3 linked regions of the Sus scrofa genome follow. The protein of the gene in region 1 purifies or fractionates together with the protein of each later gene. This does not show direct contact. Links are inferred from orthologs where the notes say so. Each region holds a gene or a part of one and is shown on either strand. Other genes may lie near its edges.

Region 1 (4,685 bases):
CATAATAAAAAATTAATCTTACATTCATGTTTAAAATTTTTCATAATATTCTGCAAATTTTCAGGATGCTTCAGCTGAAGATCAGGCACAATTGAAAATTTCAGAGCAAATCATTTTGTAATAATGCTGTGATATAGGTAATACCTTAACTGACTTTAGAAACAACAGAATAAGAAACCTAGAAAATAATTCAAGACTTATACCTGCCAGCAGGCATTTGTATTCTTGTTTAATTGCTTTTATCATTTAAAAAAAGGTCTCAAGGGAGTTCCCACTGTGGTACAATGGGTTAAGGATCTGGTGTTGCCACAGCTGTGGCACAGGTTGCAGCTGTTGCTCAGATCTAATCCCTGGCCTGGGAACTTCCACAAGCTGAAGGTGCAGCCATTTAAAAAAAAAAAAAAAAAAAAAGGAAGTCTCCAAATTTTAAAAATATCTATGATTTGAAAAAAATCACTTAAGTGTCTGAAATTTGAGAAATCACTTTTCGCTTATTTAAGCCCAACCCTGATCGACTGACTGGGAGGTCTGAGAAGAATTTGAAGATTCACTATGCGTCCTGCAGAAAGGCTTTCCTTCTGAGACAGAGATAAATGAGTTTACTGGCTCTGGAGGCTTCCTGGATAGCAGTCTCCAAGTTTAATGAGGATAAAAATCTAAACACATTCCGCTTAACCTTCTTCAGGGTTTCCACATTGCAATTTATAGCCTCAGAGTCTTGCACTATGTTCACAAAATGAATACCCACCCTTAGTTTTTAAGAGATCCTAAATGGTGATTCAAGAATTATGATTTATCATGTACTTTAAGATGAGAAAAAGTAGTGTAAATTTAACCAGTGCTTGAAAGAGGCTCTGAATTTCGATGTGGATGAAAGACAAACGTGAAAAGGTCTCCAGCAGGTAAGAGGGGCACTAGGAAGGAAGGAGCCAGAAAAGAAGAAACCAGAGGCTTATAAAGGCTCTACTTTGGGGCTTCAAGACAAAATATCTTTTTATGTATTTGGACCGGTTGTCTATGCAGATTATTATCATATCTCAGTGGAAAATACACACAATATGAACACTGTATAAAAGACATCTTATCACATTTTTGAGGCAGAATGTTCTCGGCTTATTGCAAAAGTTATCTATGCACTGCACAGACCTCATTCCCAGGCTAGATTTTAGCTATTCTCCGTTATACACAAAGTACTCCATTCCAGTCTCTGAATTTAGTGAATTTAACACTGAAGTAATTTGAAAAACCTCTTTTCAGTTATGTTAGCTCAACACTGATAAAGGGAGGGTTAACAGTAACAGTGAATTTGAAGATTCACCATGCATGATGCAGAATTTTTTTAAAAAACTTATTTTCTCAAAACTTTGCATTATTGTCACAATGAGTGACGAGTGTTTCAAATTAACATGTAAAATCAGAGAACTTTCGAGGTGGAAGGAAGTGACCCTTTAATTCAGGAATGTAGAGAGAAACAGGTGCTGAGAGATTAAACTAAACTAACTTGCTCATCACCTGGAATCTATTCAGTGCTGTGAGAGCAATAAATGCAGCACCAACTCTGAGAAACTACACCTGTATGCTGGCAGGTACTTCACTCTCCCATATACAACTATGGACTCATCAGTCCTGTAATTTCAGCTATACAAACGGTGGAGCTAAACTACACTCAAACGCTAAATATTAGTGCTACCACTGGCTTGCCACACACCACAGCATCATTGATTATGAAAAGAAAGTGTTTCAACACAAGATGCTCATATTACTATAAAGGAATTACTGCAAAGTAATTTACACCTAAAGACTAATTACTAATATTACAGAATAATGTTGAGTGCCCTTTATTATATAAAGGAGACAGACAATAAGGGATAATGAGATTAAAAGTGGGTTTTTTTCCCCCTTATTTAAAATTTAACTTTATACTCCAAGCATTCTCCATAGCGCCTAATTTGCAGCAGACTTGGTTTGTTTGCACCCCAATATTCCTTTATTCGACAGCATCGACAGCCTTTTCAAGGTTAAATGCTTTGAGAAATTGATGCCTGGTGAACATCAATCAGTACCTGCGGAAGGAATGTAAGGGTACAAAACTCCACCATCACCAAACTTGCATCTCTAGCCAAACAGGTCTTACTCTTGCTTCGGAAACCATCCCCCCTTGCCTCCTAGACACAGAATCACGCACTCCCATACCGACTGAAAGTGACTCTGTGCACGCCAAAAGAATTTCTTCATCTGTAAAATACGGGGGCTGGACTAATACTGGATTTTTGTTGTGGGTTTTTTTTTTTTTTTTTTTTTTTCCCCAGCTCTCAAATTCCGCCTCATTGCCGGAGTGGCAGGGCGGTGCAGTGAAAAGAGCCCTGTGCCTGCTTGACACCATTTACAAAGCCCACGTCTGCATCCCTCGAACCGCCGGCCACCCGGCCTCTCCAACTCCCTGGCGCCTCCCAGGGCCCGACTGACCTGGAGCGAAGGACTCCGACGAGGGCCCGGCGTCCCACCGCCCCTCCGGGGCTCCGGGCTGGGCAGCAGCCGCAGCGGGGCAGGGGCGGCGCAGGCCGGGTCGCGCGGTGCGTCCTTCAGGGCGCGGGTCCCCTCTGTCCGCTGCCCGGGACAGCGACCCGGCTCGGCCCCTGACTTGCTCTCCGCCGCCCGGCGGTTCCTCCGCGCGGCAGGCAGCTGCAGCCGCCCGTCCCGGGCCCGCTGTCACCTCCGCCCCTGAAAGCGGCGGGCGGGTCAATCCGGCGTGACTCAGCGCGGCGGCTCCGCCTCCAGCCTCCCGCCTCGCGCTCAGGCTTCCGCCTCGCGCGGCCCGCGCGGCCGAGCAGCGCCACGCTTCGTCCCCGCGAACCCACCCCAGTGGAGCGCGCCCCGCGCTCGCGCCCCCTGACGGCCCGCATGACCACGCCCTCCTCATGACGTCAGGGGGCGGTGCCCCAGGATCTCTACTCCGGGAAACTGAGGCACCTGGTCGCATGGCGCTGCCCCAGCTGGTGGCGCTCCGCGGCTCGCAGTTCGCAGGGTGTTCAGTTCTACCTACAGCTCCCGCTGATCGAAAGTTCCTTTCCTCCCTTTCTGATCCCACACCCGCCACACTCCCCGTCCAACCTAGAAATGGGTCAAAGTCTCTTTTAGAGAAGGTCCATTCAATTCCTGTCTGGTGCGGTCTTCTATGCTGCCCGGAGGCAGTTTACTTTATCTTGTCACAAATAATTGGCGTTCACTTCGGTCTGTTCATTTTTTTTTCCTGAGGGAAGTGTCTGAGGACATTCTCTGCTCTTAAAGAGAGTTTAAGAGCAGAGAATAACAGAATGCAAGAACTGAAAGCATGAATTTAACTTTTTCCTGAATCCAGGTAGGAGTCTTTTTGTGCATTAATGGCCGCAAAGTCACCCTGCTTGGTCTGTTGCTTGAATTTCTGTGCCTGGTTTCTGGGATCTACCAGGGAGATGCCGAAGAATGCACAAGTCTATCACTGTGAATGCAAAACAGGTAAACTTCCACAGACGGTCCCCACTTAAAATTGTTGGACCTAAGATTTTTCCACTTTACCGTAGGCATTCAGTAGAAACTGCACTTGGAATCTTGAATTTTGATCTTTTCCAGGAGTGGTGATAGGCTCTACAATACTCACTCCTAACGCTGGGCAGCGACAGTGAGGCAGCTCTCAGTCAGCCGGGATCAGGAGGGTAAACCGCCAATACGGTTGCAACCGTTCTGTATGCATACAACCATTGCTTTTCACTTTCAGTACGGTATTCAATAAATTACATGAGGAGTTCCCGTTGTAGCTCAGAGGGTAAGAACCCGACATAGTGTCCATGAGGTTGTGAGTTTGATCCCTAGCCTCGCTCAGTGGGTTAAGGGTCTGGCGTTGCTGCAGGCTGTGTAGCCTAGTCAGGTCGAAGATGCAGCCTGGATCCTGCTTTGTGGCTGTGGTATAGGCCTGCAGCTGCAGCTCAGAGTCGACCTCTAGCCTGGGAACGTCCATATGCTGCAGGTGCGGACATAAAAAGAAAAAAAAAGAAGCATGCATTTCATTTTATTTTCCCCCCTGGGGCTGCTCCGGAGGCATGTGGAGGTTCCCAGGCTAGGGGTCTAATCGGAGCTATAGCTGCCGGCCTACGCCAGAGCCACAGCAATGCGGGATCTGAGCCACATTTGCAACCTATACCACAGCTCGCGGCAACCTATACCACAGCTTGCGGCAACGCCGGATCCTTAACCCACTGAGCAAGGGCAGGGATCGAACCCCCAACCTCATGGTTCCTAGTTGGATTCGTTAACCACTGAGCCACGACGGGAACGCCCCTACATTTCATGAAAACTTAGGATGTTTTAATGTATACCCAACCCAACCAAGACCTGTTTCTTCTACCTAAAAATGTCAGTTTCAGAATGATCTGATTACTGAATCTGAATCTTTGGAGATGTGTTCTTTAGCGAGTACACAAAAGTTTAAGAACCACTGCCACCCTAAAAAGACCAAAAAAAAAAAAAAAAAAGAAGAAGAAGAAGAACCACTGCCCTAGAGCATTGTGAAGATTCTAAATCATCAAAAGCAAAAATAACAGCCTTTCACTCATCAAAAAAGTTTTACAATGGGAGTTCCCATTGTGGCACAGCAGAAACAAATCCAGCTAGGAACTATGAGTTTGTGAGTTCGATCCCTGGCCTTGCTC
Region 2 (3,900 bases), on another chromosome or scaffold:
CACCCCCTACCCCCGCACCTCTTCTCAAGGGGAGCAGCTTGTTCTCCAGGACATCCCTGGCATCAGTGCCTTCGTCCATCAGGTCAAGCTTGGTGATGACGCCAATGGTCCGCAGGCCTGAAAGAGCAGAGGTCAGAGGGCCATGAGGAATGAGCACAGGCTGGTGACCCCGGGCTACCTGGGGTCCAGTTGGGCTTCCCACTTCCAGGCTGTGCCACCTGGGACAAGCCATAACATCGCCTGCCTGGATCCTCATGTCAAATGAGGACATTTGACAATGCACTGATCTCAGGGGGTGGTCCATAAGGATAAACCTGGCACTTGGCAAAAGTTCAATCAATCAACGCTGGCCACTGTCACTGTCGTTGGCACGACCAGGGACGGCATCTGGTTCAGGTATCATCAGAGGGCGACCTGACTAAACACGAACCCCGGCTCAGAGTCTCCATGCTGTGCTGTGCTGAGTGGCGGGCAGGGTGCCAATGGAACATGCGGACCCATGACGACTGTTTCTCGGGATACCTCTCATGTCACTGGCCAAACTTCCGCTCTGGAAACCACCCTGTGGAATTCCTCTTTGTCCCAAGCTGCCCAGAATCAAGGGGAGCCTGAGGATCAACTGTCCTTGCTGATGCTCAAGGGCTCCCCTGTGCTAGTTGCAGGCATACACATGTATCTGTGTGTGACATACACACAGAGGACAGAGAGACCCAGGAGATCTCCAGTGGGTGCTTAGATGGGCGTCGATGGGGAGATGGCCATGCCCTCCCTGGAGCCCGCGCCTGCTCACATTCTGCTGTGAGCGGGCATCACCTTTCTGGAGGGCAAAGGAGCCACGGCTATGAACACCGATGCCTCAGGCTGGGGCAGGAGAGGGGAGAGGCAGCCCAAGGTAGAAGGATGTGACCGGGGAGTGGCTCTGGGGCATCGACTCTGCTGGAAATGGCCAACCTCACTAGAGCATTGTTCCTGAAAGGTCAGAAACAACCCTAATTTCAAGAACAAAGAAAAGGCAGCAGTGGGCAGCCAGGAGGATGGCTACGGGTGTATGTCCCTATGGTAAAAGGTAAGCACACCCACAGAACAGAAAAAGAGGAACCATCACCCTATTTCTACAAATGTTGAGTTTATGTGGAAGAACAAAGTCTGAAAGAAAATTTGCCAAGAATGGCCACCAGTATCTGCAGGGGGAGAGGTGCTGCCACATTTTAGGTTTTCGTATTTTACAATAGTGACATCTGGGAGTAATAATGATGAATATTTTCGAAGTTAGAATGATACTTTTTTCGGAAGAATGCCAGCATCCAGTTCACAAACGGTGCTTGACTGTATGCACCCCCACTTACTCACCGCCTGATCTAGCCTCTATGGAGTCTTTGTCACAGGCACATTCCATTTCCTGGGACAAAACAGGGTGGGGGGACAGGAAGGTTGAGGGGGCTGTGGGCAGGGGTGGCCCCTCTCAGGAAAGCGCACCTAGAAGACCTTGGGAAGGAGCCGGCAGAGCCCTGAACTCTTGAGGGGCTTGCAGTCCAGGGCTGGAAAGGAGCCACCTTTGCCTACTGCTCCCCAGGCCTGCAAATTGGGGAGTGTGAGCCACAGAGCCCGTCTCCCCCAACTCCTTCCAAAACACTATGGGATCCAGGCAGCTGGAAGACAATTTGGGAAATGTATTGCAGTGTGTGTCATCCTCTGCTAAACCCCCACCACTTTCAGAACACACCCAGCTTCCCACTGCAGCCCCCACGGCCTGCTTGACCAGCCGTGGCCACTCCAGGGCCTCAACTCCTCTGCCCTCCCTTTGCTCACTCTGGTCTGGCACACTGGCCTCCCTGTTGTGTCCTGGGCACCTCCTTATTTTGAAAATATTCCTTGACTGCACCCCACAGCATGCGGATGTTTCCGGGCCAGGGATCGAACTGGCACCACAGTGGATGACCCAAGGCACTGCAGTGACTGCACCAGATCCTTAACCCCCTGTGTCACAAAAGAGCTCCTCCTGGGCATCTGTTGAGCATCCACTGCCCATTTTCCCGGATTTTGCCTCTTTTCATCATTCTGGTCTTGTCTAAAACCTCATATCCTCAGAGGCTGGTGACAGCCCCCCTTCCATTCCAGCATCTCTCAAAGGGCTCCATTTCCCTCCAGTGCTTACCACTACCTGGAGAGGCTTATTTCCTTGCTGGATTCTGTCTCACCATGGAATAGCAGCTCACCGGTGGCAGGGCCCTGCCATCAATTTTGTCCCCTATGGGGTTCCCAAGGCTGAAACAAAGCCTGGCCTGCAGCAGGGGCTTAACTGACATTTCCTGAATGAATGACCACTGGCCAAGTTTGACCCAGAACCCCCTGGGACATAGATGCCAGAGTCTGCACTCATTCCTACTGCCCCAACTTATTTCGTGAACTCGTCATCCTCTCTCCCTCATGGCCTGGCCCCTGAGCAGTTACTGAGAGCTCACCTGCCCTCTCAGCAGCTCCACAAGTTAGGACTCCTGTTCCTGTTTCCACAGAAGGGACCCAGCCTCAGGGGGGATAAGTAACTTCTAGAGGATCTGGACTCATATCTGCATCCAGGGAAGGCTGTGCCCTTCCCCACCCAACCCCCCAGACTAGCTTTCTGCCCAAGCGAAGCAGAGATCACCGCATCTAAGGAAGAATGCCAACTGTCACACGATGGATGGCCTCCCGGGGGATGCCCCCCAACTCCTGAACTGTTGGCCCTCCTGAGAAATGCTATGTCCCAGGCCTTTTCCTGAGGAGGTCATGTGCCAAAGAGATCACCTGTGATGTGGAATCAAGAGTACAAGGCAAGTCACAGTGCCCTCAGGGGCTGGGAAGGGGTAGCTCCTGCTATGGGGCCCCATGGGCGTGGGTACCTTGAGGGTCGACCTCCTTGGCCAGCTTGAGGGCGTCCGAGTTGGCCAGGTCCATGTTGGCGGGGGTGACGGCGAGGATGAGGCTGCTCTCCCGGCTGATGAACTGCAGGATCATGTCCTTGATCTGGTACTCGATGTCTGGGGGCTGGTCCCCCACGGGCACCTTGGTGATGCCCGGCAGGTCGATGAGGGTCAGGTTCAACACTGGGAGGGAAACCAGAGTGCAAGGCCATTAGAGCTGGGGGAGGGGAGGCACGCACAGCTCTGAAGGACCTGGCTGCTTCCCCAAGTGCTGGGGGTCAGGCCTCAGGATTTCTTTGGCTGCTCCAATTGGATACCATCTTTTGACCCAATAACTCTCTTCAAGGACCTCATCCTGTAGATGCCCTCTCTGTGAGTACAGGGATTTGAGGGATACAGCTGCTTTTTTAATGAAGTGACTCTATTTTCTTTTTGTATTGATGTATGGGTGACATTAGGTAAGTTACAAATGTACAATATAGTGATTCACCATTTTTAAAGATTATATTCCATTTCTACTTATTATCAGTGATAAGGTGTTTTTTTGTTTTTTGTTTTTTTTGTTTTGCTTTTTAGGGCTGCACCTGCAGCACATAGAGGTTCCCAGGCTAGGGGTCTAATTGGAGCTACAGCTGCTGGCCTATGCCACAGCCACAGCAATGCTGGATGTGAGCCGCGTCTGTGACCCACATCACAGCTCACGGCAATGCCGGATCCTTAACCCACTGAGTGAGGCCAGGGATTGAACCCGCAACCTCATGGTTCCTAGTCAGATTCGTTTCCACTGCAGCACAAAGGGAACTCCGTAAGGTTTTAAATTTAGACATTTGTATCTATAGATTGGAATTTCTCTCCATGGCTACATAAATTTCATCTATCAATTTAGCCAGTACCAAGGAACAATTAAAAACAAAAGATCAGGACTTCCTGCTGTGGTGCAGTGCGTTAATGATCCGTGTGCAGGGGGCAGCTGCAGCTTGGATTCGATCCCTAGCCTGGG
Region 3 (3,900 bases), about 100 Mb from region 1:
AGCAACGCCAGATCTGAGCCGCATCTGTGACCTACACCACAGCTCCAGCTCACGGTAACACTGGATCCTTAACCCACTGAGTGAGGCCAGGGATCGAACCTGCAACCTCATGGTTCCTAGTCGGATTTGTTTTCGCTGCGCCACGAAGGGAACTCCCAACATGTATTTTTGAATGAGCAACGAGCTGCCTGCCTGCAGCTCCCAGGAACTGCCCGTCTCCAACCCAGCCGTGTCTGGCAGGTTTGGCAGTGTCTTCCCGAGCCTCAACATGGCGGTGAAACGGCGGGAGCAGGCCTTGCAGGACTACAGGAGGCTGCAGGCCAAGGTGGAGAAGTATGAGGAGAAGGAGAAGACGGGGCCGGTGCTGGCCAAGCTCCACCAGGTACCAGGGAGAAGGGGCTGGGGGTGGACAGGGCCACGGGGTACCAGGCAGCAAGTTCCTCCTTCCCCGGGAGACGCTGGGCTAGCCAGAAAGAGCTGCGACACCCAGGGTCTGCCCCCCAGGCCCGGGAAGAGCTCCGGCCCGTGCGGGACGACTTTGAGGCCAAGAACAAGCAGCTCCTGGATGAGATGCCACGGTTCTACAACAGCCGCCTGGACTACTTCCAACCCAGCTTCGAGTCCCTGATCCGCGCACAGGTAAGGCCCTGCCCTGCCCCCCAGGATGGCCCAGCCGCTCTTCCCTGGGGAGACAGTCACCGGCTTTGAAGACCCATCTCATGCCTGCCCAGCCCCACTCCCCACACCTGAGGTGGCTTTGCCACCCTCTGCGAAGGACATCGCCATCCCTGCCCTCAGCACCCACCCCTGAGGGCTCCCCGGTTGTTGGGTGGGATTCCTGTGTTGGTTCCTACTGGCTGCTGTGGTTAAATCCCAGCCTTAGGATGGGAGTGGAGAGCTCTTCCACTCGCCCTCTGCAGCAGGAAAAACCAGCTGCGCCCCCAGCACCTCACCCTTTGCCTGGTGTCAAGGATGAGGACAGGGGCCAAGGGTGACGGCTCTTTTCTGACGACCCTGCATCCCGCTCCCTTCCCTAGTCAGCCCTTTTCTTTTGATGGAAGACTAGACCCCTTGGAGGGGGTCCCTAAATCCTGGAGAGAGCCTTGCTCAGCGCCCCCGCCTGGGCACCAGGCTGTAGTGCATCTTCCAGTGGAAAGGCAGGCTGGGCTGAGGCTGGACGTGGGTGGGACGCAGCAGTAGCACTGAGGCCAAGACCCTGCCTCCTCCTACTCCAGGGTGTAAGGACAGTGTGGGGTCAGGTGTCGCTCCTGCCCTCCCCCAACCCCATTCAAGCCATTAGCAGAGATTACTCTACTCTCCCTGTTTGTAAAAGAGAAAGACTTGAGGTGCCAAAACCAAGAGGTCTCTCCTCCTCATGGGACCCACACCCACACCCCTCTGGCAGGGGGCTGCAGGTGCGCAGCATCCTGCCGCCTTCCCCACCTGGAAGGCTCAACGTCCCCATACACCTCCAGCCCACCTCTGCGCTTGGCCTGGGTATCTGGCGCCCTCCAGTGGACACTGTCGTTCTTGCAGAGTCCACGGTCACAGATTCTAGGAAAACCCTGATTGCTAGCTCCCAGCTGCGTCTCTGGAGAACACCAAAACCCATGGGGCTGCACACTTGGGATCAGGAACCCTTCGCAGGATTGATGTTGGAGCTAGGACTTGTTAGTGACCGTGTCCCCAGTGTCTCAGGGAAAACGAGGCAGAGCTTAGTGCGTAGGGGTGTGGAATGTTCCCACACTCGCCCCCACAGCACTGCCCCTGGAGGTACGGGCTTCCTTCCAGCAGCTTCACCCTGGGCTGGGGAGGGAATGTGTTTACGGAGACCCATGCCTTCGCTCTCTGTGCTGTCACCGTGCTGTTCCCAGCCCCCCAGCCACCTGCCCTGCCCCCTCCACCCTGTTGCTCAGAGCACAGGAGGAAGCCCCAGGGTGCCCAGGTTGGGAGTCTGGGATGCCCTATAACCAGGCAGAGGGTTGGGGGGTTGTTTACTGCTTCATCCATGCCAGCCTCCCCCTCCCGTGGCTGCTGCTGCCATTAGTCACTGGAGAAGTGAGCATTCCTAGTGACTCAGCCTGGCGGTGCAGCTCAGGGCAGAGAGCTGGGGGAGGTGGGCCATCCTCTTCCCTCCCCAGCACCAGCCCAGCCCCCATCCCCTCAGGTGACAACATTTGGAGACCTTGACTCAGCTCCCCTTCAGCCCAGTGGAAACCTAGCTGTGCGAGTGTGGAAGACATGGCCTTGCTTTCCATTAATAGCACTCGAAGTTTCTAGAGAAGGAAAGTTCCTTCTTCCCAGAGACAACTTGGAGCTGGAGATGGTAAAATCTAGGGCTGTTTGTTTGATAGTGTGGAATACTTTCTTCTAAGTGCACACTTTTGTTTAGTCATGAGGTAAAGACTGAGCAAGAAATGGCTCCTGCCCTCGCAAAGCCCTGCCCTGCACCTGCTCAGCGAGCCGCCTCACTCCCGTGGGCCTCGCCATCCCACCTCTGGTGCCTGCGCACAAGGAAACCTGGAAATGAGCCTGGCCTCTGGGCCCTGCTTTCCTGGCTCTGCAGCTTAGGCAGTGATGAACGATGGGATGAGTTGGGAAGGCACAGAGGTTAGGACCATGTCACCTCTCTCACCTTTTTTTCTTTTTTTTTCCTCCTGTCTGTTTAGGGCTACACATGCGGCATATGGAAGCTCCCAATCAAGGGGGTCCACTCAGAGTCGCAGCTGTCAGCCTACACCACAGCCACAGCAACGGGGGATCTGAGCCGCACCTGTGACCTACGCTGCAGCTCAGGGCAACGCCAGATCCTTAAGCCACTGAGCGAGGCCAGGGATCAAACCTGCAACCTCATGGGTACCAGTCAGGTTCGTTGCCACTGAGCCACAACAGGAAGTCCCTCACCTTTACATCTAAGACTGCCTCCCAGGGCTTTGGGAGCTGCAGTGCCCCCGTCCCGTGGCCATAAGCTTCTCCTAGCCTCTGTAAAGCAGCCCCCGTCACACTGCCTGACTCCCTAATCGCCGCCCCCCCAGCCCTCACCCCTCAGCTGCTTGTTAAGCTCAGAGGGCAGAGCCCCACCTCCACCTCACCGAGGACCTGTTGCTCCCTTCCCGCAGGCATACCACCACCCAGGAGTGGGCAGTGAGTGTTCCGGAAGGGCTTGGGGCTTTGGCTGCCCTGCAGGTCTGGGAGATGGCCTGAGGGGAAGGGTGGTGGTGGAGGGCAAAGTGGAATCCAGCCCCTTCACTCGGCCCTGTGCTCTGCTGGAGGGGACAGCAGCAGGCCAGCTGCCCAGGGGTGTGGTATGGGGGGCTTGGTGCCCCGGAGCCCAGCACCTGCCACCCTCCTCTCACCTCCCATTCCAGGTCGTGTACTACTCGGAAATGCACAAGATCTTTGGAGACCTGACCCAGCAGCTCGACCAGCCTGGCCACACTGACGAGCAGCGGGAGCGGGAGAACGAGGCCAGGCTGAGCGAGCTCAGGGCCCTCTCCATCGTGGCCGATGACTGAGCCCAGGCCTCAGAGGACCCCCGGCACACGAGTCAGCCGCTAGTCTGCCCTTCTCAAACTTAGGCTCGGGCGTCAGCCAGCAAAGGGCCCTTCCCTGGGAGAAGTTTGGGGATGGCAACGACTCCCACTCCACCTCCCCAGCCCTTGGGAATGAGCCTGGCACCAGGAACCCCAAGCAGGCTGCCGTCTCCCCACCCGTAGCAAGAGCCCAGACAGGTAAGCAGTGTAGACTGTCTTAGTTCCTAAGGAACTGTCCAAAGTGCATCCAAACCTAGGGCCAGAGCATGGGCTTTGCTCCCTTGAGGTCTTAGCCTGGCTTGCACAGTTGGGGTCACATCTACCTCCAGAAGGGCCACCTGGGGGAGTCACCCACCCTCATTGCCTT

Evidence for each region.
Region 2: the proteins of dynamin-binding protein (region 1) and DNM2 purify together in Homo sapiens (co-immunoprecipitation; 3 studies listed by BioGRID and IntAct, with this or other methods). This does not show direct contact. The link is inferred for Sus scrofa from reciprocal best matches to the Homo sapiens genes DNMBP and DNM2.
Region 3: the proteins of dynamin-binding protein (region 1) and BIN3 purify together in Homo sapiens (co-immunoprecipitation; 5 studies listed by BioGRID and IntAct, counting the BioPlex papers as one, with this or other methods). This does not show direct contact. The link is inferred for Sus scrofa from reciprocal best matches to the Homo sapiens genes DNMBP and BIN3.

Annotation. Positions count from the first base shown.
Region 1 is NC_010456.5:111,164,460-111,169,144, forward strand, and holds the start of dynamin-binding protein, read right to left. Parts: upstream 2,841-4,685; 5' UTR 2,467-2,840; intron 1-2,466. UniProt on the Homo sapiens protein: Plays a critical role as a guanine nucleotide exchange factor (GEF) for CDC42 in several intracellular processes associated with the actin and microtubule cytoskeleton.
Region 2 is NC_010444.4:69,522,239-69,526,138, reverse strand, and holds part of DNM2 (dynamin-2), read right to left. Parts: intron 3,084-3,900; coding exon 2,880-3,083; intron 118-2,879; coding exon 19-117; intron 1-18. UniProt on the Homo sapiens protein: Catalyzes the hydrolysis of GTP and utilizes this energy to mediate vesicle scission at plasma membrane during endocytosis and filament remodeling at many actin structures during organization of the actin cytoskeleton.
Region 3 is NC_010456.5:6,874,824-6,878,723, reverse strand, and holds part of BIN3 (bridging integrator 3), read left to right. Parts: intron 1-240; coding exon 241-382; intron 383-504; coding exon 505-639; intron 640-2,167; coding exon of another isoform or gene 2,168-2,374; exon of another isoform or gene 2,375-2,663; intron 2,664-2,669; coding exon 2,670-2,867; intron 2,868-3,119; coding exon 3,120-3,144; intron 3,145-3,368; coding exon 3,369-3,442; coding exon of another isoform or gene 3,443-3,515; 3' UTR 3,516-3,900. UniProt on the Homo sapiens protein: Involved in cytokinesis and septation where it has a role in the localization of F-actin.